Linked DNA regions of Ovis aries. The protein of the gene in region 1 interacts with the protein of each later gene in a pairwise test. Links are inferred from orthologs where the notes say so. Each region holds a gene or a part of one and is shown on either strand. Other genes may lie near its edges. The genes, in order: TK1, COPS6, LRIF1, GDF9, CCDC90B, transducin-like enhancer protein 1 and APLP1.

The links.
Region 2: the proteins of TK1 (region 1) and COPS6 interact in a two-hybrid assay, tested with the Homo sapiens proteins (2 studies listed by BioGRID and IntAct). The link is inferred for Ovis aries from reciprocal best matches to the Homo sapiens genes TK1 and COPS6.
Region 3: the proteins of TK1 (region 1) and LRIF1 interact in a two-hybrid assay, tested with the Homo sapiens proteins (2 studies listed by BioGRID and IntAct). The link is inferred for Ovis aries from reciprocal best matches to the Homo sapiens genes TK1 and LRIF1.
Region 4: the proteins of TK1 (region 1) and GDF9 interact in a two-hybrid assay, tested with the Homo sapiens proteins (2 studies listed by BioGRID and IntAct). The link is inferred for Ovis aries from reciprocal best matches to the Homo sapiens genes TK1 and GDF9.
Region 5: the proteins of TK1 (region 1) and CCDC90B interact in a two-hybrid assay, tested with the Homo sapiens proteins (2 studies listed by BioGRID and IntAct). The link is inferred for Ovis aries from reciprocal best matches to the Homo sapiens genes TK1 and CCDC90B.
Region 6: the proteins of TK1 (region 1) and transducin-like enhancer protein 1 interact in a two-hybrid assay, tested with the Homo sapiens proteins (2 studies listed by BioGRID and IntAct). The link is inferred for Ovis aries from reciprocal best matches to the Homo sapiens genes TK1 and TLE1.
Region 7: the proteins of TK1 (region 1) and APLP1 interact in a two-hybrid assay, tested with the Homo sapiens proteins (2 studies listed by BioGRID and IntAct). The link is inferred for Ovis aries from reciprocal best matches to the Homo sapiens genes TK1 and APLP1.

The regions. Positions count from the first base shown.
Region 1 is NC_056064.1:53,319,805-53,323,387, forward strand, and holds the end of TK1 (thymidine kinase, cytosolic), read left to right. Parts: intron 1-1,458; coding exon 1,459-1,548; intron 1,549-1,842; coding exon 1,843-1,962; intron 1,963-2,143; coding exon 2,144-2,347; 3' UTR 2,348-3,083; downstream 3,084-3,583. UniProt on the Homo sapiens protein: Cell-cycle-regulated enzyme of importance in nucleotide metabolism. Catalyzes the first enzymatic step in the salvage pathway converting thymidine into thymidine monophosphate.
Region 2 is NC_056077.1:36,794,581-36,798,787, forward strand, and holds the start of COPS6 (COP9 signalosome complex subunit 6), read right to left. Parts: upstream 2,801-4,207; 5' UTR 2,788-2,800; coding exon 2,721-2,787; intron 2,507-2,720; coding exon 2,381-2,506; intron 1,976-2,380; coding exon 1,844-1,975; intron 1,517-1,843; coding exon 1,428-1,516; intron 1,330-1,427; coding exon 1,267-1,329; intron 969-1,266; coding exon 921-968; intron 845-920; coding exon 730-844; intron 644-729; coding exon 551-643; intron 456-550; coding exon 355-455; intron 215-354; coding exon 74-214; 3' UTR 1-73. UniProt on the Homo sapiens protein: Component of the COP9 signalosome complex (CSN), a complex involved in various cellular and developmental processes.
Region 3 is NC_056054.1:88,340,050-88,344,170, forward strand, and holds the start of LRIF1 (ligand-dependent nuclear receptor-interacting factor 1), read right to left. Parts: upstream 2,801-4,121; 5' UTR 2,357-2,800; coding exon 2,289-2,356; intron 1-2,288. UniProt on the Homo sapiens protein: Together with SMCHD1, involved in chromosome X inactivation in females by promoting the compaction of heterochromatin.
Region 4 is NC_056058.1:42,113,805-42,117,895, reverse strand, and holds GDF9 (growth/differentiation factor 9 precursor), read left to right. Parts: upstream 1-1,291; coding exon 1,292-1,688; intron 1,689-2,806; coding exon 2,807-3,771; 3' UTR 3,772-4,018; downstream 4,019-4,091. UniProt on the Homo sapiens protein: Required for ovarian folliculogenesis. Promotes primordial follicle development. Stimulates granulosa cell proliferation. Promotes cell transition from G0/G1 to S and G2/M phases, through an increase of CCND1 and CCNE1 expression, and RB1 phosphorylation.
Region 5 is NC_056074.1:11,965,025-11,969,142, reverse strand, and holds the start of CCDC90B (coiled-coil domain-containing protein 90B, mitochondrial), read right to left. Parts: upstream 2,801-4,118; 5' UTR 2,746-2,800; coding exon 2,664-2,745; exon of another isoform or gene 1-2,663.
Region 6 is NC_056055.1:55,331,953-55,334,709, reverse strand, and holds part of transducin-like enhancer protein 1, read right to left. Parts: intron 1,362-2,757; coding exon 1,214-1,361; intron 1-1,213. UniProt on the Homo sapiens protein: Transcriptional corepressor that binds to a number of transcription factors. Inhibits NF-kappa-B-regulated gene expression. Inhibits the transcriptional activation mediated by FOXA2, and by CTNNB1 and TCF family members in Wnt signaling.
Region 7 is NC_056067.1:45,877,628-45,881,127, reverse strand, and holds part of APLP1 (amyloid beta precursor like protein 1), read right to left. Parts: coding exon 3,329-3,500; intron 2,874-3,328; coding exon 2,743-2,873; intron 2,370-2,742; coding exon 2,295-2,369; intron 1,420-2,294; coding exon 1,261-1,419; intron 1,178-1,260; coding exon 1,049-1,177; intron 1-1,048. UniProt on the Homo sapiens protein: May play a role in postsynaptic function. The C-terminal gamma-secretase processed fragment, ALID1, activates transcription activation through APBB1 (Fe65) binding. Couples to JIP signal transduction through C-terminal binding.

The DNA.
Region 1 (3,583 bases):
TGGGCCTTCTGCGATGTTGCAGACAACGTGGGCAGCTCTGACTGTACCTTGGATCATTCAGGAACCCCTGCTGGGCAGCTCTGACTGTACCTCGATCATTCAGGAACCCCTGCTGCAGGCCCTGGGTTCAGTGTTTGGGCAGAGAGTGGGGTGGCATGTGAACAGGGCGCAAAGTTCAGGTGGAAGAACTGAGCTCTCTGACCGCGGGCATCACTGTAGCAGGCAGGGTGGAGGACCCCTCGCGGTCCCCAAACCCTGGTGTGGAGGGACCATGTCTGGACAGGGAAGGTAAGATGAAGAAGGTGCTCCTCCCAGGGTGGTTCTGCTCTCAACCTTCCCCGTGGATTTCTGGCAGTGTCTAGAAACAGTTTTGTTTGTGACAATGGGGGTCGGGTCGGGGCACTGGCCGACAGGTCCTTACAGGCTAGCGGCTGCATTTCTGTGACCTGTGACAAGTCCTTTAGAGAAAAGGAGGGGCCTCACCTAGAGCCAGGCTGGAGCCTAGGGGTGGGAGGTGCCATTTCCATAGTGCAGGCTCGGCAGACCCTGCAAACCCTGCAAACCCTGCAGAGGCCAGTCAGATCTGGCTTTGGTGAATCCTGCTGGAACTGGTTTGGGTTCTCTAAGCCCTGTCCTGGTCCTTGTCTGGGTGAGCCCTCGGGTTTTGTAACTACGCATCTCCACGAGTAGCTTGGAGAGAGACCCTTTGCCCAAACACTGGAACTCCCCACTTCATCCAACCCACAGACCAGATAGATGATTGACCAGTGAAAGGTCACCAAAGGATTTGTTTAAGTAGTGGCCCCTTGGGCCACTTGAAATGAAATTTGATTTACCAAGTAAGGACTTCCCACGGGTGGTGTGTTGAGCCATCCTGCTCTGTAAGTGGCCAGTGGAACTCCTGCCCCTTCTCCAGGCATCACACGGCACATTATGTTTAAAAGAAGAAAAAAATAAAAGCAAACACACAGAGCCTGCCTCTCAGCCAGATAGCATATGTAATAAATTATTTGCGTGTCCTTAATCCTTAAACATCGCCAGGGGCCTTCCTTGCCTTTTCCTGGGCTCAGGAACATGAAGTCATTGCCAGGGTCACAGCTAATGGGTCCAACGGAGAACCTGGTTCAAGCCTGAGGCAGCGGATCCAAGCTTTGGTCCACTGCAGTGGCAGACGGCCTCTCCACCTGGGTTGCATCACCCTGGTGGCAGTTCCAGGCGCCTAGCCTGGAGCGCAGCCTGGCTCTGCTGTGGAAAGTTGGTGCGATGGGGGAGTGAGTCGGGAAGCTGTGGATGTGCAGGCCGTGTACCAGATGGGAGGGCTGGCGCGGCCTTGTTCTCAGCTCCACGTGGATGCAGGTAGCTGTAGCTCCTGGGCCTGGCAGCGTGTCTGCAGCTCCTGGAAGGGGCTGCCCAGGGCGGAAGCTCACTCCCTCCTCCGCCTCTCACCCTTTCCTCTAGTTCCCTGACATTGTGGAGTTCTGCGAGAACATGGCCAACTCAGGGAAGACCGTCATCGTGGCTGCACTGGATGGGACCTTTCAGAGGAAGGTGAAGTGTCTGGTCCAGGTCTTGGGGTGGGACCGGGGACAGAGGCCCAGGCAGCGCACAGAAATGGACAGCCCAGGGCGCCCTTGATGCCCACACCATGCCTAAGCCCAGGCACTCAGGCCAGCCAGTCCCAGCTCCCTGGGGTGCCCCTGACTCCACCTGCCTAGGGCAGGTGCTCTGGGGAAAGGCAAGGTCCAGGCTTAGTTTCCTGGCTTCAGGGGTGTGAGTCAGGGTCTCCAGGAAAAGCCCACCCGGCGAAATGAGTGTGCACTCCTCTTTCTGTGGATTGTACAGGCTTTTGGGACCATCCTGAACCTGGTGCCCCTGGCAGAGAGCGTGGTCAAGCTGACGGCGGTGTGCATGGAGTGCTTCCGAGAGGCCGCCTACACCAAGAGGCTGGGCGTGGAAAAGGAGGTAGCTGCCCCCTGCCTTCTCCAAGGGATGGGCGGGTGGGGGGCAGGGAGGGGCGCCTACACCTAGAGGCTGGGTATGGAGAAGGAAGTAGCCGCCCCCTGCCTTCTCCCAGAGGCGAGGGGTGGGGCGCTGCGCCCCAGCCCCGCTCAGTCCAGGCGCTTCCTGTCGCACCGCACGTCAGGTCGAGGTCATTGGAGGAGCAGACAAGTACCACTCTGTGTGCCGCCTGTGCTACTTCAAGAAGCCCTCGGGTCAGCCCGCCGTGCTGGACAGCGAAGAAAATAAGGAGAACTGCCCGATGACACTGGGAAAGCCCGCGGAGGCCGCGGGAGTCCGGAAGCTGTTTGCCACTCATCAGATCCGGCAGTGCAGCCAGGCCAACTGAGGCACTGGCCCCTCGCTGGGGCGGGCGCTCACCCGCCACCTGCTCCCCCCACTCGCCCGCTGTCGCCCCCTGGCGGATGCCGGGCCTTCTTGGAGGAGGAAGTGGCGGGGGGCGGGGTTGGGGCGGGTAGAGGTTTCACCACCAGCAGTTGGCCTGCTGCTGCGCCCTTTCCCAGGCCAAGGAGGCGGCTGGTGGTCTGCACTGCACACTTCCCTCCTTGCCTGCCCACCAGCTTTTCTCAGTTCCCATCCCGGCTGCGGGGCGGCTGCGGGGCGATCGCAGTCTCCCCAAGCCGGAGCTGGCCGCCCTATGGGGCGGGGTCTGGCCGCTGCAGCCATCCCTCTTGGGGTGAGGCCAAGCCGCAAGCTGCTGTGACATCGGCGTCGCCGGCTTCTTCCCCGTTTGTGGCGTTTGCTGTTGAGTTTCTGTTCTCACTGGGAAGTCCATATCCCAGCACCTCTGGCTCAGCGTGGGCCTCTTCCCACGCAAAGACTTGGTCCCTCTGCCTGGGATGGGCTCCTGGCTGCCCCTGGGGATGGCTGGACTTCTTATTTCCTTTGGGGCTGAAAGCCCTTCCTGATCTGGCGATCATTTTCTCCGGAATTACAGCTTCTCCCATGTGGGTGACACTCACCCTGCTCTGGGGCTCAGCTCCCAGGGGCTTGTTTTCTAAGGAGGTGGGGGCTGTGTGTATGTGGAACTGATAACTAATATTAAAATCTATTGGTTGGTAAAAGCCTATTTCTCTTTTAACTGTCTGGGATTCCCCGGGTCTCACTATAGACACCTCTGACATGATTCAGGTATGGGGATTTCCTTTCAAATCTTTTTCTAGTACTCCTGACCCCTTAACCACAAATCTTTTTAACTGAGATATGAGCATCAAGTGTTCTAACAGGCATGTTTGCCTGCTCTTCTGCCTGGGAGGGTTTCAGGTCAAGATGAGTGGATGCAGGAGCCTGGGGCTTGGTTGGAAAGATGAAGCCTTGGTCTGTGCTGCCAGCTGGGGCTGTGAGGTCAGGTTTTATTTTGTGAAACAGACACTTGACAGTTCAGGAGCCAGGAAGACCAGCTCTGCCGTGCCTTGGGAAACGGGCTGTGGACAGCTTATGGGAAGGTGAGGGTGCTCCAGGGTGGGGTGGGCCTGGGCTGTGTGTTCCAGATGGGGCCCCAGTTCCCCACCCTTACCCCAGCTTCTCCCTCTCACTGGCTTGTGGCAGGTTACAGAGGTGCAGT
Region 2 (4,207 bases), on another chromosome or scaffold:
TCAAGGGAGTGTAGCACCCCTCCCCTTGACAGCTGTCTGACCCCTGTACGTCAGCCCTTCAAGTACCCTTTCGTCAGAAAAAGAGCCCCCGCATCCGCCTGCCGATGCCTTGTCGGTCATAGAGGACGTTGAACTTGTTCACGAACTGGTTCATGGTGTTGCACGTCTTGGTGATAGTGCCAAGGTAGGCCATGAGCCCCACATCATTGCATTGCTGTGAGGGGACAGAAAAAAAACAAAGTTTCCCAGGAGCTCTGGGTCCCCCACCATGTGACCAGGGAACAGGAGCCGGTCATATCCTGCATGCAGAAGACAGCAGGAGCCCCACCTCCCCATCCTGAGCCTTGCACTCACATCGTAGAAGTCTGTCTTGAACTTGTCTGTGCTGAGTACCGGGAGGCAGTGACACAGAGCGTAGGCCTCCCGCAGGATCTCATGGTTAAAGGGGACCTCGCCTGAAGGCACAAGAAGCTGCATCAATGCGGATGCTGTCACTTCCCCAGGAGGGAGAGCAAACGTGCTTCAGGGACCAGGGAGATAACTGTCCTACCTGCCTCAGAGGCCTTGACGTACTCCAAGATGAGCTTGACGCGGCTGTGCAGCATCTTGATGGCGCTGTGCTGTGCGATGAGGTGTTCAGCCACTGGGGGGGTGGTCAGGCTGAAGTTGAGAAGGTGTGTGGCCACACCTTCCCCCCACTTCTAAGGAAGCCCCTGCAGCCACCCTTACCAGTGGAGTTCTCTCCACTGCCTGTTGCTGTCATTCGGGCCACGTGGTCCACCCCAATGCGTTCTGCTTCCTCTGTGGCCAGAGTGTAGGTCAGCTCAGCAAACAGCATGGTGGCCTATGGGACACACAGAGTCAAAAGCAGCAGACCCCAGGGGCAGGCTGTGTGGGTTGAAGGGTAGGGCATTACCTACCTCTCCATTGATTATATCTATGACTGACTCAAAAACGCTGACCGGAAGCTGTGAAGAAGAGAGAGCACAGCTCTTAACTAAACATCAGACACCTGAACCTACACTAAGCACCAAAACCGGACTGGGCCCTTTTCACATTACATTTCCTCAGCTAATCTTCCCAAGGACCTACTGAAGTGGAACTCATTCCCATTTTCACATGCGGGGAAAATGCAGTTTAAAGGTTAAATGACAAGTCTCACAGATGGTAAACTGCAAAAAGATTCAACAGAGATGTCATACAATAAAAGCAGGGGCAGAGCGACAGGCAGGCAGGACAAAGTGGGCACGGGGTCACTGTACTCACATCTGTGTGCTTGGTCATAGGGTTCAACTTAAGAAACAGAGGGCTCTCAATTATCTCGCACACCTGGAAGAAGGGAGGATGCACATGTGTGTCAGGGTCCATCTTCCTTCCCCTCATTCTCTCGTCTCCACCCCAATATGTACCTGTGTGAACGTGTATACCTGCTTATGGACGTGGATGTCGGAGGGGTCAGGTGGCCCACCTGTGGTGTACCAACCCAGAAACTCCAGCTCCTTGAATACCTGTTTAACTGGAGAGAAAGGGGCCAGGACACACAGTATATCTTTAAATCATCCTTCAATTTGAAACTCCTGGTGTGTTTTTACCAGCTTCTCCCCTTCCCATCCTGGCTCCACGTAGAACAACTAATCTATTCTGTCTTTTCTCACTCCTTGCTTTCTTTGCGAGGAATAACCCATATGTGTTCTTTTTCTAAGGTCTCTTCAGCTACTCTCTCTTCATTATTCCTCTACTCTGGTCCTATTTCTCTGTTTATTTTTTCCCCAACCCTCTCCATCTTCCCCATTCTTTTCTCCCCTACTCCCACTCTTCTCCCCCACGTCTATTCCCCTCTCACACTGCTCCTCCTTGGTGTAATAATATTCCTTGTCAATGATAATCTTCTCTTCCACGGTGTGGGACAGCAGTTCAAAGGAGTTCATCACCTCAATATTTCGGCCCTCCTGCTTCCCGATCAGAGCCCCAATAACTGGAGGAGAAAAGGACACAGAAGAGGTGAGGGTGAGGACTCCTCCAGGACTTCCCTGGTGGCTCAGATGGTACAGAATCCGCCTGCAATGCAGGAGACCTGGGTTCAATCCCTGGGTAAGGAAGATTCCCCTGGAGAAGGGAATGGCAACCCACTCCAGCATTCTTGCCTGGAGAATTCCAAGGACAGAGGAGCCTGGTGGGCTACAGTCCATGGAGTCACAAAGACTGAGCGACTAACACTAAAGGAATCCTCAAACTTCTCTAATAATAGCCTGAGGGTCTGAGGTCACGTGAACCAAGTACTAGAGAAATGATTTGCGGAGGAGGAACTAGCTTCAGCAAAGGAAGGAGAAAGGACCACTATTTGAGGGGAGGAGGCTGGAGAATGACGCCGAACACTCACCCTGCATAGGCCGCCCCTCCTGCGAGCGCATGCGAATCCAATGGTCTGAGATGTTGAGAATGACGAGGGGATGAAGAGCGACTGAAACGCTGCCAGTCACTCCGGAGGCCATCACGCTGGGGACGACTAAGGAGGGGAAAGAGGGGGTGAGAGTCCAGGCCCCACGTTCCTCCCGGGAGCCGGGAACGGGAGACGGCAAAGTCGGGCCATCCATCCCTCCCGCAAGTTAACCCAGGGAGCTCGCTGCCGGCTCGCCATCCCGACTGCTCCCGGGACTCTAGGAAGGCCTCGACAGGCCCGCCAGGAAGTCTCCAGAAGCCGCCCCCGCACGGCCCGTTACCTGCAGCATCCACCTCCATCCCGCTGCTCCCTCCAGTCCCGTTCGCCGCTGCCGCCGTCGCCGCCATTTCCCCCGCGCCCGCCAGCGTCGGCCCCGCCCCCTCCCTCCCGGCTTCCGTAGGCAGCGGCGCATGCGCGTTGTCGCCGAGGCGCACGCCTGCCCGCACCCTGGGCCACTCCGGGCCGTTCCTACTTGGCCTTGCGGGGAAGACTCGGGCCTTGCGGGGAAGGCCCGGGGCAGGGAGATCCGGCTGGTGTTTGTAGCCCCTTTTCGCCTGCAACTGACCGTGAACAAATTACCTAACCCCACCCTGATCGTCCTCGTCAGTAAAACTGGGATAAGGCCGCTTAGTTCCTAAGACTGTTGCAGAATGAATGGAACGTCATTTTGCCGCGCTCGGAATAAAACCGAAATCCCTAATCACGGCCTGCAGAGCCCTGCAAGATTCGGGCCCTGCCTGACCAGCTGGCCATGGGCTCTACTTTGCTGCTCCTTGGTTCCCCTGCTTCAGCCACACTGGCCCTCACGTCTGCTCCTTTCACACGCCTCACTCACGCCCACCTGAGGGCCCTCTGTCACCTTCATCACTGTAACACCGATGACCAAATCCGTGCCTGACACAGGGGCACCTAAGTGACGTTTGAGTGAATGCTTTGCAGTGGAGCCTGGTCTTGAGTGACTCTGTCTACACGGCTTATCTTTCCTCTTTCTGTTAACACCCCCAGCGTTTTCTAACCCGTCCCAACTTCCCTCTACCTTCCATCTCCATCAATCTTACCAAACTTAACTTTGGCAAACCTGGCCAACTCCAGCCCTCTCCCCACCCCTGCACCCAAGCAAGTTGGGTACACTGCCTTTACCCCATCTCCCATCTCATTGCCCCTACAACCTAGCTGGCTCTTTCACTGTGTGTCTGCACCGTACCCAAAGTGTTACCTCACACAGGGCAGGTGTGAATTTGCTTCAGTCGTGTCCTACTCTTTGTGACCCCATGGATTATAGCCAACCAGGCTTCTCTGTCCATGGGATTTCCCAGGCAAGAATACTGGAGTGGGTTGTCATTTCCTTCTCCAAGTCATCTTCCCGACCCAGGGATTGAACCTGGGTCTTCTGCATTGCAGGCAGATTCTTTACCATCTGAAGCACAAGTGAAGCCCAGAGAACAGGTAGAGACCTTGATCTTGACCATATGAAGCGTACTGGTGCCCAGAACCAGCAGATCCCCGGAAATGTTTTTTGATGATAAGGGTGACTTCTGTTAAAGTCAATCCCTCTTAAAGCGCTCCTAACCACTGTTTTTAGTTTTATAGTTATCTGAACAATGTTTTGAAAGCATTTGAAACAACAAAAAGACAGGAATTCTGTAAAGATTGAAATAGCAATGCAAACTAGCAAATTTAACAGCAGAATAACCTTTTTTTCCCCCCTCAGCCTTCAGTCCAGCTAAGAAGCCTTATACTCCAGAGCAACTGCCTACTATTTAAAAG
Region 3 (4,121 bases), on another chromosome or scaffold:
GAACATGAATCTAGGTCTCTGTAACTATCTTCTTTCTCCAACTCTACCAAGGTCTTTGTACCTCAACTGTACCATTCTGACTCCAGCTTTGCTCTTTACATATACAGTCCAAATCTAAATAAACTTAATGCCTACTATCACAGATATCTTCCAGATTTCTCCTTTGTACTATAAGATTAAATTTGGGTTTTACATTTTATACCCTGCTGAATTAGAGAGATACTTTTAAAGCAATCAACATTCTGTATCACATTACTGAAAGCTTTTACAGCAGGAAAGAGGTAACTCAAGAAAAATGCAAGTATCCATAGAAAATAAGAAAATCATATAACCATTTTAAGCTTATAAAAATGATTTTACAATAAAAATATTATCAGATATATAAGACCATGAAGCTTCCAAAAAACTAAAGAGCTGACATTAATCCACGTATTTACAAAAGTATCTTTGAATGTCCTGCAGATTAATTATAAAACAACAGAATCAAATATGCAAACAGTAACCAAAATAAATGTCAAAGAGCTTCAGAAAGGCATCTGGCAAATGTCCCAAATACGTGATTTAAAACCTCAAGGATTTGAAGAAAAATGCATTCAAAGATGATAAAAATAACGCCTAAACCAGCGAGTTAATTAACTCCAAACAATTGATAAATGTAGAAAACATAATTCAATTTGCAATGTTTTAAAATATAGCCAAAAGTAGAAACAGGATAATAAAGTACACAATAAACAAAAAGTAAGGTTCTTACTCTAATTTCCGGTATTTAAAAAGAATGAAACCCTAAAACAAATTGTATTAAACTAGGATAAATCAAACGTTAGCAAATATACAGGTATTGAAACAAGATAGAAGAAATCAGCAACCATTAAAGACTAGCTCCATTTTTGCGTATCCATACAAGGCACTATCTGACTTTCCTCTCAACTTCCACCAAAAATAAACCAACAAAAAACGTACATGCACAAAAGCTGGCTCTTGTTCTGACCTGAAATACAATGGCTCCTTCTTGGCAGTTTTCAGTGCAGTTTTAGGTAATCACTTTTGATGACCATTTCATTTTAGATTATTAAGCATGCTTTTTAAAAGTGTTTATCACAATCAGGTTTCATATCTACTCATAACTACCTACTTCCTGGGCTAAAATTTTTACAGAAGTAAAATCGTATCCTTAAAATTATAATAGCTAACATTTAAACAACGCTTTTCTATTTTTACTGCACTAAGTATTTTAGTATATTCATTCTTTTAATCCTTAAAATACCTCTGGGTGTTCTTACTTACAGACTGGAAACCAAGTCACGGCCTCACAAATAGTAACTAGCAAATCAAGGATTAAACGTAGTGATACTGGTTTTCTTCAAACATAAATGCTCTTCCATGATTTTTACATCTCCATTTCTATGATTTCTTCTTCACATTTTCTTCTACAAGGACTCAACCTTTTTTCTCACCACTTATTAGATACTCACAAACCATGGATAGTTTAACTTAAAATATTCTACCTTAGCTTACAATTTTGTTCGTTTTATTTCATCTTGAATAATGTTTAAAAAAAATGAGTTAGTGATACACTATTGCCTAAATTTACAAACAAGTGTCTAAGAAGTACAGCAATCTACCTCTGACAAATGTAGTTCCTCTACATACACATCCAATTCGAGATGGCATTCTCATTATACCTTCTTCAAATATGCTGTTCCAAAGGATTTTACATGATAATTCCTCTTTCATTTTTTAATATCTTCAAATAAAGCTATCATTTGAACAAATTTAAAAAAATTGATTCCCTTATTCTAAAACAACTTTTCAGTTTCTATATTATCAATTACCAAAAACAACAACAACCTTTCCTTCCCACAAACTCTTACATTACAGATATTTTCCCTGACGATCCAGCGCCACCTGTGCTGCATTTGCTAATTCGCTCTCATTGCTGCGTGTTTTTCTGCGAGTGCGCGAGAATCTTCCAGAAGGTTTTGGTCATACAGGCGCGCCGGCCATGTTGATTTTCCTCTCCCATGGAGATCTACTCTGTCAGCCTATGAAATTCAGACGATGGAGTCCTGCGGCGCCAGGGCAGAGGCTGACTGCGTCAGACTCTGAAGGGGGACGTGCGCTAAGAGCTCTAAGCGCCAAACTGCCGCGCACTTTCCCTGGAATGCTCACACAGAGGGATCAAAGGCGTCTGAATTGCAGAACGTCAGGAAACGACGGCTGACTCGACATCCTGCTAAGAGACAGGAGAGGGGCCGCCGGGTCGAGGGAGATTAGAAACCGGTACTTACCAATGCGAGGCGTTGCCTGACTTTTCCTCTGTAGGTTTCAAGAAGACCTTCTGTGGGTTATTGGACATTTTATAGGGTTGGGAGGGGCCAATACATCCAGGAAAGGGGGCAGTGTCGGGGCCGAGGTCCTCCAAGGGAAGAGAACGAGAGCGAGAGCGAGAGCGAGAGAATGTTGGGCTGGAGTTGTCCCGGAGCACAGAGGGGTTCGAAGCTGAAAGGAGAGAGACGGCAGGCTCTCTAGAGGGCGTATCCTCAGGCTCCGGAGGGAGGCGGCGTAGCCACCAAAAACCGGAAGAGTAGAAGAGACTGAAGGGGCGGTTCCGTCTCTAGCCTCTCAGAGAAGGGTCTCGAGTCTCCACCCACTCAGCGCCAGGGACTTCGCTCCAGAGCCGCCCGGAGTCAGCGCTGGAGGCGTGGCCTTAGTGGCACCGCCCCTATGGATGCCGGGTCAGCCGTGAACAACCGAGCCAGCAGGGCCCGACCGACCCCGCCCACCAAAGCCGCCAGCTAGCAAAGCTCAGCCTGCCAGCTTCCGCTATCGTCACATCCGGTCACCAAGATGACTGGCTCGCTAGCGCCCCGCCCTTATACTGCGATCCAATCAAAGGTGCTGTCTGCCATCTCTTCTTCCGGATCAAGGAACGAATCGCAGAAGAAAATTCTCCAGATGCCTACGCAAAATAAAATGTTTCCGGGGCAATCGCAAATTTCCTCCCTTTGTATTTGCCGCTGGTCTGTTTTCTTTTCCGCCCGTGCTTTAAAAGACATTGGAGGGCTCTTTCGGAGTCATATGAACTTACGGAGTGAGAAAATTTTAAGACACCTGCCTGTGGCAAGCGTCTGTTTTATTGCTACTTCCTGAGGGTTTCTCGGGTTTTATTCTCTTACTTAAAGGTTTGCCTCGAGACTTAAATCTACGCTCTCCCTCCACCCCTTAATACTCGCTGGAAATAACACTGTCATATAGTTTCTTCATTCCCTAAAAGTTTCGTTTCTTGTATTGAGTTACTTTTTGGCATCTTTACCTGAATCTCCAGAGAAATACTTGGCAGATGTCTCTTGATTACTGTTGTTAAGTCTCTTATCTGAGAAACGGGTTGAGTCTTTGGCTTCAGCTGGGACTAGGACGAAGTTGTGGGAGGAGTGGTTTAAAAGATCTAGTTTTATTAGCTACCAGCAGTAAACATGTAAACAGGCTCATACTGTTCAAATTTAGGAGACTAATGTATGGTAGCTAAGTTAAAGGTTTATTTTGGTCTTTTAGAAATGCTGGTTAGTCATTCTCCTAACTCGTTAATGAAATGATGAAAGATCTTGACGTCTCGATTATCATAGAGTAATACTTTTAAACTACTATTCACTCTTTGGTAAAGATTAATTTTGACGATATCGAATCCTGTGTGTGTGAGTGGTATTTATCTTTCAGCCAAATATTCCCATACTAAAGAGGAGGCAGAGAGTTGAGCCCTTTTTACTATCTTGGTTTTGATCTTTATCTTCCTCCTGTCTGTGAGACTTCCCTGGTGGCTCAGACGGTAAAGCGTCTGTCCGCAATGCGGGAGACCTGGGTTCAATTCCTGGGTTGCGAAGGTCCCCTGGAGAAGGAAATGACAATCCACTCCAGCACTCTCGCCTGGAAAATCCCATGGACGGAGGAGCCTGATAGGCTACATCCCATGGGGTCGCAAAGAGTCGGACACGACTGAGTGACTTCACTTCCTGTCTGTGAAAGCAAAATTACTTAAATGAGTTGCTCATTCTTGGCTTGTTTCATTTTTCTCACCACTCATTTCTTAACTTTTGCGTTTCTTAACTTCTCATATCCATCAGTAC
Region 4 (4,091 bases), on another chromosome or scaffold:
GCCCACTGTTCACTGCCCAGGAGGAAGGCAGGAACGTTGCGTGTGAGGCGATTCCATTTTCGGAAAGTGCTTTCTTCTTAAGGATACTGCTGTCCTGTACAGCTGACTGACTTTTCCACTTGATGCAACGTGTCTGTAAATGTTTTTTTCATGGAATTGCTGGCCATGTGTAATCTAGGACTAAGTTTTCATTCAGCAGTTTGGGTGTGTTTTATAACCCTCCTTGGCAGATCCGAGCCAGGGAGGCTTGGCAGACAATGAACTTAAAATTTACCAGTATACCTCGGTTTTATCAGCCTGGGTACTGCACAGACTGGTTCTGTATCACGGTAAGTATATTCAGCTCTTCTTAGTGTACCCATGTCTCATTTATCTGAAACATAATCTTTAACCTGATCTTAGCTCAGAGGCAAGAACATAAATACTTATACAGGTAAGAACAAAAATACCTAGCAAATTCTCCCACCATTTGAGTGATTAATAAAAAGCAAATCTTTCATTTATTTTCTAGCACCTGAAAACGTCTTTAAACCTTTCAATTAAAGTATGCATAGATGAATGAGCAGACCCAAATAAAGGCACCAAGATATTATACTTTAAAGTGAGTCAAGATTAAATGTGATGTCCTCCTTTTTAAAGCATATTGCAGTATTCCAAGTACATATCCTTAAAAGGCTGCGAGAACTAGGCAAAATAGCAGTTCTCTGCTCTCTGGAATCTCAATTTCAGTTGTGAATTTCTCTCACCCTCCAAATCAGCATGCAGTAAATAAATATTCTAAGCACCTGGAAGTGGGAGAAGTGGTACAGATCCAGGGAGAAGAGTAAACCCAATACCATAAGTTGCATACAAACAGATCTGGGTATCATCATGAATCATTAGCTGTTCCCCATGCCTTCGAAGTTTCAGCAAGCATCTAGGGAACATTTTAAAAATCCTAATCTCTCTCAAGAAATCGGCCGCTTTTTTTTTTAAAGATCACTCCTTGTAGCCTTTCAGCTACATAGCTAGTCCATTAAGTTAAGAGATTTTAAATAAATGCCAGGGGAAAGGAAAAGGAAAACTATATGGCCAAGTAAATCTGAATCTAATTAGGACAAACTGAATGAATAGGGTGTTGTCAGCTGATAAAAATTATCCACAGCTAAGCATCCTTAAGGTCTGATTACAGAATTGAACCTAGCCCACCCACACACCTAAAGTTTATTTAAGAGACCAACCGAGGCTCTTCCTGGTTTTTAGGAAGAAGACTGGTATGGGGAAATGTGTTCCTTGCTAATTCTTCCAAGCCATGGCGCTTCCCAACAAATTCTTCCTTTGGTTTTGCTGCTTTGCCTGGCTCTGTTTTCCTATTAGCCTTGATTCTCTGCCTTCTAGGGGAGAAGCTCAGATTGTAGCTAGGACTGCGTTGGAATCTGAGGCTGAGACTTGGTCCTTGCTGAACCATTTAGGTGGGAGACACAGACCTGGTCTCCTTTCCCCTCTCTTAGAGGTTCTGTATGATGGGCACGGGGAACCCCCCAGGCTGCAGCCAGATGACAGAGCTTTGCGCTACATGAAGAGGCTCTATAAGGCATACGCTACCAAGGAGGGGACCCCTAAATCCAACAGACGCCACCTCTACAACACTGTTCGGCTCTTCACCCCCTGTGCTCAGCACAAGCAGGCTCCTGGGGACCTGGCGGCAGGTGTGTAGGAGCAGATTGGTTAATGGGTGGAGGGAAGAAGAAAGACCTTTTTGCATTTCAGTTACATAAAGGAGTTGGCCCTGCTCCTTGACTTGCATTTTACTTTGCATGGTACTCAATATCCAAACAAACCTGGTGCTTGATCTTACTGTTTATTCCTAATGGCCTCATGGGTTGATGTAGGCTAAATCTCTTGCTAGAAGAGATTTAATGGCCTTAAAACCTGGAAAGAGTGCTGCTGGAGGTTAGCATCTTGTCCAGGGTCACAAAATCAAGACTGTAAAAAAAGGTATTTTGACTTCGTTGCATATTCTTTCTAGTCTACCAATGTTGGCCTGGACATGAACCTACAGTACCTCTTTCAGCTGTTAGTGTGCTTTAGTAAACAGGATGTTTTCCCCACGTTTGTTGCTTTCTGTGAGAGGAAAACTGAAGTCCTTATGTGGAACAGTAGATCACCCTACAAGGACAATGTGTTAACAATCTTGTGTGTGTGAGAGAGATGGGAGCAGTGCTATTTAAAAAAGAAAAAAAAAATTATATTCATTAGCTCGTGACTTACAGAAAACCCTTCTAACCCAGCAGGTCATTTGTGGCTATCTTAAACCCTTTCTCCTTCCTTGACGTCCTGTTTTGTTACAGTGGGTTTAGAGCTTCCATTTGTTGTCAGTCTCAAGTGTTCCAAATTAACTTAGAGAAGTACTTTTTCTTTATTGATTCTGCCGGTAAGAACTTAGAATGTTTTCTTAACAAGCCTGGCAAGTGTCTTTTGATAGTTTTCCTCTTAAAGACTTTCCAAGAGAAAAATACTGCTTTCCTTTTTAGCTTTCTCTTTGTTTGCAGCAACTTAATAAGATTCTAAAACTTCAAAATATAATGATTCCCTCTTTTAATTCCCCACCAAAGCTATTCTGAATTTCTGGTGATCCAGCAGTAAGTGCTGGGACTTAGATATGGTACAGATAACTTGCTTTTTCTTTATAACCCCTATCCCACCCTGACGTTTAAGGCTTGAGAATGTGGGGAGAAAAGGGACAGAAGCACATTCTGAGGTACTGATTCCTTGATTTGACTTCCTGTTACATATGGCATTACTGTTGGATTGTTTTTCTTCTCAGGAACCTTTCCATCAGTGGATCTGCTGTTTAACCTGGATCGTGTTACTGTTGTGGAACATTTATTCAAGTCAGTCTTGCTATATACTTTCAACAACTCCATTTCTTTTCCCTTTCCTGTTAAATGTATATGCAACCTGGTGATAAAAGAGCCAGAGTTTTCTAGCAAGACTCTCCCTAGAGCTCCATACTCATTTACCTATAACTCACAGTTTGAATTTAGAAAGAAATACAAATGGATGGAGATTGATGTGACGGCTCCTCTTGAGCCTCTGGTGGCCTCCCACAAGAGGAATATTCACATGTCTGTAAATTTTACATGTGCGGAAGACCAGCTGCAGCATCCTTCAGCGCGGGACAGCCTGTTTAACATGACTCTTCTCGTAGCGCCCTCACTGCTTTTGTATCTGAACGACACAAGTGCTCAGGCTTTTCACAGGTGGCATTCCCTCCACCCTAAAAGGAAGCCTTCACAGGGTCCTGACCAGAAGAGAGGGCTATCTGCCTACCCCGTGGGAGAAGAAGCTGCTGAGGGTGTAAGATCGTCCCGTCACCGCAGAGACCAGGAGAGTGCCAGCTCTGAATTGAAGAAGCCTCTGGTTCCAGCTTCAGTCAATCTGAGTGAATACTTCAAACAGTTTCTTTTTCCCCAGAATGAATGTGAGCTCCATGACTTTAGACTTAGCTTTAGTCAGCTGAAGTGGGACAACTGGATTGTGGCCCCACACAAATACAACCCTCGATACTGTAAAGGGGACTGTCCCAGGGCGGTCGGACATCGGTATGGCTCTCCGGTTCACACCATGGTGCAGAACATCATCCATGAGAAACTTGACTCCTCAGTGCCAAGACCATCCTGTGTACCTGCCAAGTATAGCCCTTTGAGTGTTTTGGCCATCGAGCCTGATGGCTCAATCGCTTATAAAGAATATGAAGATATGATAGCCACTAAGTGTACCTGTCGTTAACAGACTCCTGTCAAGTAAAACCATGAGTGTCCTGGCCAGTGTAAATGCCGCGCCCCTGTCTATGCCTTTGGGAGGAAGTTTCATGTGTCAAATCTCTGACTGTACGACACTGTGTGTTGTGTAAGGAGGAGCCTGTATAGATTAGCATATTCTGTGGCATCTGTCAATGTAAGGGATAACAGCTGCCTTCCTCATGGCCAAATGTTTAAATGAAATGTATTTCTTTTGGAGAACTTTGAATTTTTTCCCAAGTGATTCTTTTTTCCTTTTTGTAGGAGTCTTCTTTTTGATGTAAGAAAATTTTAAAACTTAATTAGCAT
Region 5 (4,118 bases), on another chromosome or scaffold:
AAAAAGAATTTTTAAACAAAAAAAGAGAGATTATATACAAAACGGAATATTACTCAGCCATAAAAAAGTGTGAAATAATGCCATCTGCAGCAACGTGGATGGACCTAGAGACTATCATACTAAATGAAGTAAGCCAGAGAAAGACAACTATCATATGCTATCACCCACATGCAGCATCTAATAAATGATACAGACAAACGTGCTTACAAAACAGAAACAGGCTCACAGACATGGAATAGAAACTTAAGGGGAATGAGTGTGAGAAGGGATAAATTAAGGGTTTGGCAGCAGATACAAATTGCTATGTATAAAATCAAATCAACTAGGTTTCAATAAGAATTTTCAAAACAGAAATAAAGTATAATGGTAAAGAATCTGAAAAAGAACATATAGTATAGATGTGTATATATATAACACCACACTGGAAACTAACACAACCTTGTAAATCAACTATACTTGAATTAAATTTAAAAATTAAAAAATATTACTAACTTTAGAGTTGCAACACTTCAGTAACATAGCTGATCATTAATATATATTTTTACATGCTGGTCTGTTGACATATGCTTTTCTAGTTCCATCAAGACAATCAGGATTAATATATTAAATAATAAACCAACACAAGATCTATGTGACTGACTTCTCAGGGACAACCAAAAAATCTGTTTTTAGAAGCTCAGTGTTTTTGATGTTTTGCTAAGTAAGAGAAATAGTAATGAACTAGGAAACCAGCACCAGTGGTCACAAAACTTCCACAACATCTTCCTGTGCCTTATTTTATCTTTTAAACAGTAATTCAATTAGATGAAAACTAAGATCCTTCCCTGAGTCAGAGGTCAAGGTTTTCAAATTCCTTGAATACTGACTTGAGGCAAGCTTAAACTACTTGAACATAGTAAACATTCAATAAATATTTGTTTAGTAATGAGGGACCCAAATTATATTAGCTCTGAAAGTTTACAAAAAATTGAGACTGGGGTGATTTCCCAGGGTTCAAAAAACATCCGTTTTGTACATCATAATGTGTATGTATGCTAAACTCCATGGGGTCTCAAAAGAGTTAGACATGACTGAGCGACTAAATACACACACAAACCTAATACCTTTGTTCAGTCGCTCAGTCCTGTCCGACTTTTTGCAGCCCAGTGGACTGCAGCAGGCCAGACTTCCCTGTCCTTCACCATCTCTGCAGCTTGCTCAGACTTATGTCCATTGTGTCAGTGATGCCATCCAACCAGCTCATCCTAAGTACAAATACCGTGCCAAGGACCCTGGGCACTAAACAGCAGTCTTAGAGATGGGGGGGGGCGGCGCGGGGAGGCGGTCAATAACTGCAGTCTTGCTGTGTGACTAAAATGAAACGAGCAAAACAGCTCAAAGTTGTGGTGCTGGACATCTCAGTTCCCCTGCACTTAAGATTTAAGGTGAATAGAGAACGTTGAGGTTAGTACGAAGTAACTACTCTGCAGACAACCCCAAAGGGTTTAAAAATTGTGGGGAAAAGATTCTGGAAACGACTCTCAATAAATTCAGTTGTCCAGCACACACTGGTGACAGGCGCACCTGCCCGTCAACCACTGTAGCTTCCCGTGATCACGTTCCTTTTTCTTGAAAGGCGATTGCCAAGTACTGAAAACCACAGCGTAAATAAAGCGTTTGTTGTTCAGTCGCTCAGTCGAGTCCGACTCATTGCGACCCTACAGGCTGCAGCATGCCAGGCTTCCCTGTCCTTCACCGTCTTTTGGAGTTTGCTCCCGAGTACCGAAAAATATGGTTTTTCCAGTGGTCATGTATGGATGTCAGAGTTGGACTGTGAAGAAAGCTGAGCGCCGAAGAATTGATGCTTTTGAACTGTGGTGTTGGAGAAGACTCCTGAGAGTCCCTTGGACTGCAAGGAGATCCAACCAGTCCATTCTAGAGGACATCAGCCCTGGGTGTTCCTTGGAAGGAATGATGCTAAAGCTGAATCTCCAGTACTTTGGCCACCTCATGCGAAGAGTTGACTCATTGGAAAAGACTCTGATGCTGGGAGGGATTGGGGGCAAGAGGAGAAGGGGACGACAGAGGATGAGATGGCTGGATGGCATCACTTGACTCGATGGACGTGAGTCTGAGTGATCTCCGGGAGTTGGTGATGGACAGGGAGGCATGGCGTGCTGCGATTCATGGGGTCGCAGAGAGTCGGACACGACTGAGCGACTGAACTGAACCGAACCGAAAACTACAGCGAAAATAGAGCGGACCTGAAGTGAAACGGGCGCTGTAGATTACCAAATGACCTGGGCTCGAGGTAGGCACCCGAGTAACACAGTCTAAGTTTGAACAAACCGCGAAAGGTGACGGCCCTCTCCGGGCACAAACTACACGCCTGCGAGGGGGCGGGGACGACCAGCCTCCCTTGACAGAGAAGGGTTCAGAGGGACACCTGGCGGGGCTCGAGCGAAAGAGCCAGGCGGGAAGACAGGCCTTCGGAGGCTCGCGCTCCCGTTCTCGGCCCTCGCGCCTCCCGCCTCAACCCCTCGGGGCGAGGCTCGGCAGCAGGGTTGCCAGGCCCCGGAGCGGGCTGGAGGGAGGCGGCGGCACCCTCGCCTTCCTCTCGCCCAAGCCGGCACCACCTCCCCACAGCGAACAAAGGCATCGGGCGACACGGTGCCTCTCCTCACCTCTCCGCAGGGTCGGCGAAAAACGCCCACAGGGGCTCAAAACCTCAGAATACAGGAGCGGCCGAACCCAGCGGCCCCACATTTCACGGGTTTTCCAGCCGGAGGCAGCCGGGTGAGAAGACGGGGCGAATCCCGCTCAGCCTTTCGGGCAACGTAGTTCTGGCGCCAAGAGGATGCCGGGAAATGTAGTTTTCGGCCCGTAACACCTCCAACGCGCTTCCCAGCACAGGCTCGCACCGCGCGCAGTCTCGCGAAGTTGGGCCTCTCCACAGACGGACCCGTAGCTCACCAGCATGGTTTACAGCGGCTCCGCTTCTCTCACCGCCCCACCCCAACCAGTGCACGCCGTTACCGCCCTAAGAAGTGGAATCTTGTTTGAGAACCTTCCGACGCCCGTTCCCTGGCAATGAGATGTACAGCTAAACGGCCGTCTCCCGCCAGAGAGCCAGCGGCCATCACTTCTTTGGGTTAGGGAACGACAGAGTAACGTCCAACCCCGCGGCAACCTGGGACGTGCAGGCCTTGGCCGCTGAGCATGCCGGGAGTTGCGCAGAGCGCTTCTGGGAAGTGTAGTCCCCCCGAGGCTCTCGTTTCTAATTTCTTGCTGCTGCAAAGCTTGCCGCTTCGCCCTCTAGTGTACGGGAAGAAGGGAAATTGAATTCTCTCGTTTCTTGGGACGACCTGATTTATATATCACCATTTTATCTCGCTCAGACCTCAGTTACTCCAGAGTTTTCCCCACATGGTAAAATGTTGAAAACAGCAGCACGCAGTAGTTGTGGGGTTCAGATGCGGGGATGTATTCTTTGTAAATTCTTCTCTGTTAGCTTAAACGGTGAAGAATCTGCCCGCAATGCGGGAGATCTGGGTTCAGTCCCTGGGTGGGGAAGATCCCCTGGAGGAGGGCATGGCAACCCACTCCAGTACTCTTGCCTGGAGAATCCCACGGACAGAGGAGCCTGGTGGGCTACGGCCCATGGGGTCGCGAAGAGTTGGACGGACACACTGAGCGACTAACACAACAACAAAGCGGTAAACAGTCGTCAGGTTTTAGCGGCTTAATTATTCTTACAAGAATGTAAAGTTACCACTCAGTCATCAGATTTGTTTTCAGAGCTTTGTGTCAGCCGCATGACAAGCACCGTTCTAAGCACTGAGACACATTAAAAGAACAGGAGTCCCTTCGCTGTACAACTGAAACTACGACGACATTGTTAACCGGCTATACCCCAATGCAAAATAAACAGTTTAAAGTAGGCGGGAAAAAAGAAAACATAATTCCTGACAGGGCTTTAACAGTGTATGGAGAGGAAATATAAGTGATTATTTAAAAATTGAAAAACAAAGAACAACCCCTCCTCAAAAAGAGTTTAATCTCACAGTTTAAAAAAATAAAATAGAACAGAAGGACATACCATTATTACCTGTTAAAGATTTTCTAAAAAATAATGATCA
Region 6 (2,757 bases), on another chromosome or scaffold:
GGGTTGCCATTTCCTCCTCCAGGGTATCTTAATGACCCAGGGATCGAACTCCACGTCTCCTGTATTGCACGTGGATTCTTGAAAGCCTGTCTTTTATAGATACTAACTGAAATACTTATGGATGAAATGATACAATGTCTGGGATTTACTTTAATAAACATAATCCAGTGTTTGGGGGCAGGGACGACAGATGAGAAGGATTATGTGTTAGGAACTGAAGTTGGGTGATGGGCATATGGAGTTTATCATATAATTCTCTGTGCTTTCATATATGCTTGAACATTCTCTGTTCTCATATATATTTGAAATTTTTCATAAGAAGTTTTTTTTTTAATATAAAAAAAGGCAGACCGAAAATAGAATCCTAACCATAATGGAAACAGGGCTGGAAAGGAACAGGGAAGACTATAAGGAACTCAACAAAATTTTGACAGGGACATGAAATTTAGTTGAATGTCTAGTTGCTTTCCATTTCTGTCCTATTTTTCTGAGTCGAATTATTTTTATTTCCAAAATAAAAAGTAAATAAGTCATGACAAAACAAAACAATTCCACCATCAGAAAACACTTAACATGGCGCGCACTGTCTTTCCCCAAACAGGCCTAGATTCAGACACTTGACATCTAAATAATCTCCACAACGCACAATCAAAGTTGCCATTTTCCCATCATTCCAAAACTCCATAAATCTAGTCAGCCATGACTCCAGTTTCTAAGGGATGACTAATAAAACAGGCATCCACTGAGATACCACTGTATTTTTTAAGCTCCCTGATGTAAGTGAAATGAATTAACTTGTAGAGCTGTTGTGATTTTTCTCTACTACTTGTGACATCCCTGCATATTTTTAAAGGTCTATTTATATGAGAATCAAATCATCTCTCACCCCTACATCAGATGGTGAGGAGATGGACAACACATCAGACCCTGTACGTTCTTCACGGCACAAATTCCTGCAATGAATTCACCGATAAACAAAACAACTAACAAGTCTTAACCTACAGCATTTTAAAAGCCAGCCTAAGTGTTTCAGGGTGATTTGGGTGGGTGTGTGTGTGTGTGTGTGTCTGTGTGTGTGTGTGTGTGTGTGTGTGTGTGTCTCAGATGAAAAGTCCGGTCTGTTTGTCTAGATCCCACTCTCCTGGGGGCGAGGGTTGGGGAGGGCGCCACACACGGAGCACCGTGTGGGTCCCGGGGAGGGCCGAGCGCGCACCTGGGAGGTGAAGTCGTGCTGCTGCAGCTGCCGCCCCTCGCGCAGGTCCCAGGACCGGACTGTGTTGTCCAAGCCGCCCGTCCAGAGCTTGGTGCCATCGTTAGAAATGTCAATACAGCTGGCCCCGTCCGTGTGGCCCTGGAATTGCCTGATAAAACAAACCAGATTGAATAATGATTTCCTGCCAGAGCTCAAGGTAAACACTGTTGTGTTGTTAGTTTTGGACTCGCCGGGCGTGTGTCATCTCCTCAGTGTCTGCTGATGTGCAAGATCAAACCAACCTTCTTCCCTCGAGGAGGAGAGGAAACGGCACCTGCAGATTTTCTTTTCCTTTTTTCATGATCCAAGTGCTGAAGAAATGGAATGCTGTTTTAGGTCACCACACAGGAGAAGTTAAATACGCTCCAAGAGCTATTCTTACAAATCTGCTGGAAGGTGAAATTCCTCCCAGGTCTGGAAAAGTGTTTAAGTGTGAAAAGGGGAAAAAAAAAGACAAACACAGAATCCCAAGTGTATTCCTTACAGAAAGAGGCAGGCCTTGCCTGTAACCGCAAAGGCCTGTATCACCACATCACGGACTCGGGGCCCAGGAGCACACCCATTTCCATGAGTGAGTAACACCAAGATGCCCTTCGTGCCAGCAAAGCATGAGCTCATGTATTGACTCAACCTCTCGTTCTCTATTAGAAAAAGCCCTGCGTTAGGAAATCTGGACTCCTGGAGACAAAGGGGCATGCCAGCCTCCTGACTCAGACGCACAGGGCAGAGGGAGCTGATTGCTGACTGACCCCTGGGCATGGTCCTCCTGGAATCCCAGCACAAGGCCTTTGTTCTTTTGAAGGGGAATCTCGTGCCTCAGTAATAACCACCACCAAAGACCCAGAGAACACACTTGTGATTGCCAAGGATAGGATGGGGTGGAGGGAGAGGGATGGACTGGGAGTTTGGGGTTAGTAGATGAAAATGTTACATTTAGAGTGAATAAACAACAAGGTCATACTCTGTAGCACAGGGAACTTCATCTAATCTTCTGAGATAAACCATAATGGAAAAGAATATAGAAAAAGAATGTATATATGTATTTCTGTACAGCAGAAATTAGCACAACAGTATAAATCAACTATACTTAAAACACATACACACACACACACACACACACACAATGAATCACCACCAAGAATGACCAACCAACAGGGGTTTGCTGAGCACAGATGTTCTGCCAGGCCTCAGGTGGGGCTTGCTGAAGGGAGGGTGATGTAACCCACCACAGGGCTGATGGTGTGGGGGGTCATGGGCCTGGTTTTGCAGACCAAGAGGGAGCAGGCAGGGGAGTGACTAGAATAGGAGAGAGGTATTCCAAGGCTCGATCACAATGGCAAACCAGGCAGAATCCATGAGAGAACTGCTTGGGAACTCAACACTCAGAGCAAAGTTTCCACTGCCTCTTCTTCCTGTTAACTTACTATTCCCACAGAGCTTCACACTTTAAAGCTGTGCTTGGAATGTAAAGGGCATGGAGGAGAGGATGTGAGCTCCACTGCTGC
Region 7 (3,500 bases), on another chromosome or scaffold:
GTTAACTGTGCCTTCCAAGGCAGGAGATGTGGGTTTGAGCCTTGGTTAGGAAACTAAGACCCCATGTGCTACAGGGTGTGACCAAAAATTAAAAATAAATAAATATAATTAGTTTCTATGTAAACAAATTATAACTTGCTATAATTAAAAATAAATGAATAAATAAATAAAATTTAAAATAAATAAATTATAATTTGTTATAATTTTAAAAATATAATTCATTATAAAAAGTTAGAAATGATGTGGTTCAAGGGCAAGGCCTGGAGCTCAAGAGTATGGAATCAGTATTCTTGGACAGGAAGAGAGTATCCAAAAAATAAGAATTAGGATCTAAAGGCACTAAACAGGGGTTTTAGGGAGAAACAAGCGGAGTTAGGGAAGAAGGAGCGTTGAGGGACAGGAACAGGGTTCCAGGCACAGGAGGGGGATTCTAGGACAGGAAATAAGAATCCAAAGGGCAGCAAGTGGGAATTCAAGAACAAGAAAGGGGTCAGAGGCACAGGGGGTGGTGGAGGCAGTGTTCCAGGGTCAGCAACTAAGGATCTGAGGGATTAGAATGGGTCCCAGGCACAGAAGGGGGGATCCAGGGAGAGGAAGGAGGTCCAAGGGGCAGATAGAGGGTCTGAGGGACTTCCTGGTAGTCCAGTGGTTAAGAATCCGCCTGCCCATGCAGGGGACACAGGTTCGATCCCTGGTCTGGGAAGATCCCACGTGCCCTGAGGCAGCTGGGCTGGCGCACCACAACTGCTGAACCCCCGGGCTATAATTACTGCAGCCCGCACGCCTCGAGCCTATGCTCCACAACAAGAGAAACCGCTGCCGTGAGACGCCCGAGCACCACGGGGAAGAGCAGCCCCCACTTGCCACAACTAGAGAAAGCCCTTGCACAGCAACAAAGACCCAGCTCAGCCCCACAGAAATAGATGAATAAATGAATTGCTAAAAAAGAAAGAGGGTCTGAGGGGCAAGAGAAGCATCTGAGGGATGGGGTCCAAGAGACCAAGGTCCGAGGGATGGCAGAGCGTTTGGAGCTGGAAGAGCTGAGCACCTGGAAGCGCATCTGCTGGGCCTTCTCGGGGTCCACGGCAGCCACGTGCTGGTAGTGCCTCAGTGTGTGCCTCTGCTCCTTCTGCTCAGCTCGCAGGTAGCGCCGCAGGGCCAGCAGGACCCGCTCCGGCTATGGAAGGGATGGAGGCTGCCCAGGCCCGTCCCAGCCCTCTCCACCCTCTACCCTCCGCCCACCCCCCACGGCTCCCGTACCTGAGGTGGATCCCCCTGCAGCGCCGCCAGGAAACCTTCCAAGGCGGCCCGGCGCTGGTCATTGATCAGGGCAATAACTCGGGTGGCGTGGGTCTCCACCAGGCGCTGTCGCTCGCCGGACACCTGCTCCTCCAGGGTCTGCAGGATGGACTGGAAGTGCTGGTGACGGGGTGGGCACAGGGTCAGGTGAGAGGCCCAGCTGGATGAAACCCAGGTCAAAGGGAGTCTGGAAAGGGAGGGCTATTGGACCATAAGTGGGGTGGGATGCCCTGGATCCAGGCCTAGGCAGAGTCGAACTGGGGTGGGACTGGAAGACAGGAGACTGGCTGGAGGGGCCAGGTAGAGTAGGGGCAGAACCAGCTCTACTGGGAGCCCGGGTGAAGCCCACTGTATGGGTAGGAAGAGTGTAGGAACAGAGCCTGTGAAGCTGAAAGGGACCAAGTATTGCAGGAAAGGTGGGGCTTGGGCCTGGGCAGGGCCCTCTGGAGACAGGCTGTAACTAAATAAGCCTGAGTGGAGCGGGAGCAGGAGTCAGGGAATGGGGCTAAGCCGAGCTGGGTCTACACAGGGTAGGGCTGTGCCAAGGTGAGGCTGAGACAGGTGGCTGGGAGAGTGATGAGGCTGGGTCTACTGAGGAGGGATTGGGTAAAAGTGAAATGAGAGGGGCAGGACCAGAGTCGGGGGTGGGGGGCCAGGGCTGAGCATCAGAGAGAGGCTGAAAAGGACTTGGCTGTGTCTGCGGGCCCCAGCTTGGGAGAGGTCTCCAGAGCCAGCCCTCAGAGGTTAGGATCAGGTTAAGAGAGGGTAAAATATGGCCAGTGGGAGGAGGAAGAAGAGGAAAGCAAAGTCAGATTGGATGTAGGCCAAGAGAGGCGGAGCCAAGGGTAGGGATGGGGCCAGGAGAAGCCCATATCAGTAGGAAGGGGTGAAACTGAATGAGGCCAGAAAAAGCATGAGCCAGGCTGAAGCTCATTACGCCCCAGGTAGTGGATAGGCCCAAGTACCAAAGCAGGACACTCTAGAGGCTGTCCTACCTCATTCAGGGCCTGTCTGTCGGCTTTAGGCAGGTTCTTGGACTGGTTATCAGCCATGGCCCACTCACGCATCACCTGGGAAAGGGGAGCTTCAGGATCCTAGAAGCCACTCTGCTGTACCCAGTTAAGTCCCCACATCCCATCCTTCTTCAGAGTCTCCAGATCCCTTAAGTCCCGCGGCCTCTTGGATCACCAAGAGAGAGAGGATTCGGGAGGCATTTAAAGTGGAAGAGTACCACGCATCAGAGTGTCCATGGAATCTGGCGGTGTCTCAATGGGACTCTAGGTGGCTTGGGGATCCTTGGTCATCTTAGGGGTGGGTGGAGGGCTGGGGGATGATGGAGGCTGCGGGAACCTTGAGAGGTAGTCTCAATGTGTCCCTGAGCAATTTCCTGGTAATTAGGGAGCTCTGTGTTATGGGGGATCCTGGGGCCCCCAGTACCATCACCTCATTAATCTGGCGCATCCTGCGCTCCTCCAGATCCATCTTGGCCCTCAGGAAGCCTTCATGCTCACTGATTTCTCCAGGCATGCCAAAGTACACGTCCACACCATCTGTGGGTCTCGGGGTGGGAGTCACTGCAAGGCCGGGAATCCAGGAGTCAGCCTGAAGCCCAGCTCCAGGTCAGCTTCCCTTCCCAGAGAACTGCATTTCCTAGAGCGCAGTGGAGACCCCTGTGTGTTCACTTCAACCATAGCTGCTGCCTGGCATCACAGATCTGGTTCTGAATTGGACCTGTTCTTGCAAAGTTTAGGAATCCATCACACTATCCTTCAAGCTTTCCACCAAATAATCCTTCAGACATACCAAATGGCTCCTTCACTCCTGGGTACTCCCAAACCACCCTTACCCTTTGCCTTCCTCACAGGGTGGCCCTTTCACCTCCACTCTATCCAAAGCCATTCCCATCCCTCCCATTTCCCCCCACAGGGCTTCTCCCCAGCAGGTCCCTTCTCAAATGCCCCTACACCAAAGCTCTCTTAAATCCTCCTCCTTCTAGGGTGGAGAGGGTGGGGTTTAGAGATGGCTTCACCTTTGCTGACCCCTGCAGGGGTCTGGGAGCTTGAGGGTGGGACTCTGTCGTCGTCCTCCTCTTCCTCAGCTCGTGGGGGCTCCACAAAGTAATCATCTACTGGCTGCAGGAAGGATTCCTCCTCTTCCTCGTCATCACCCCTCTCAACTCTGCCTCCCGGGGGCCAGGACCG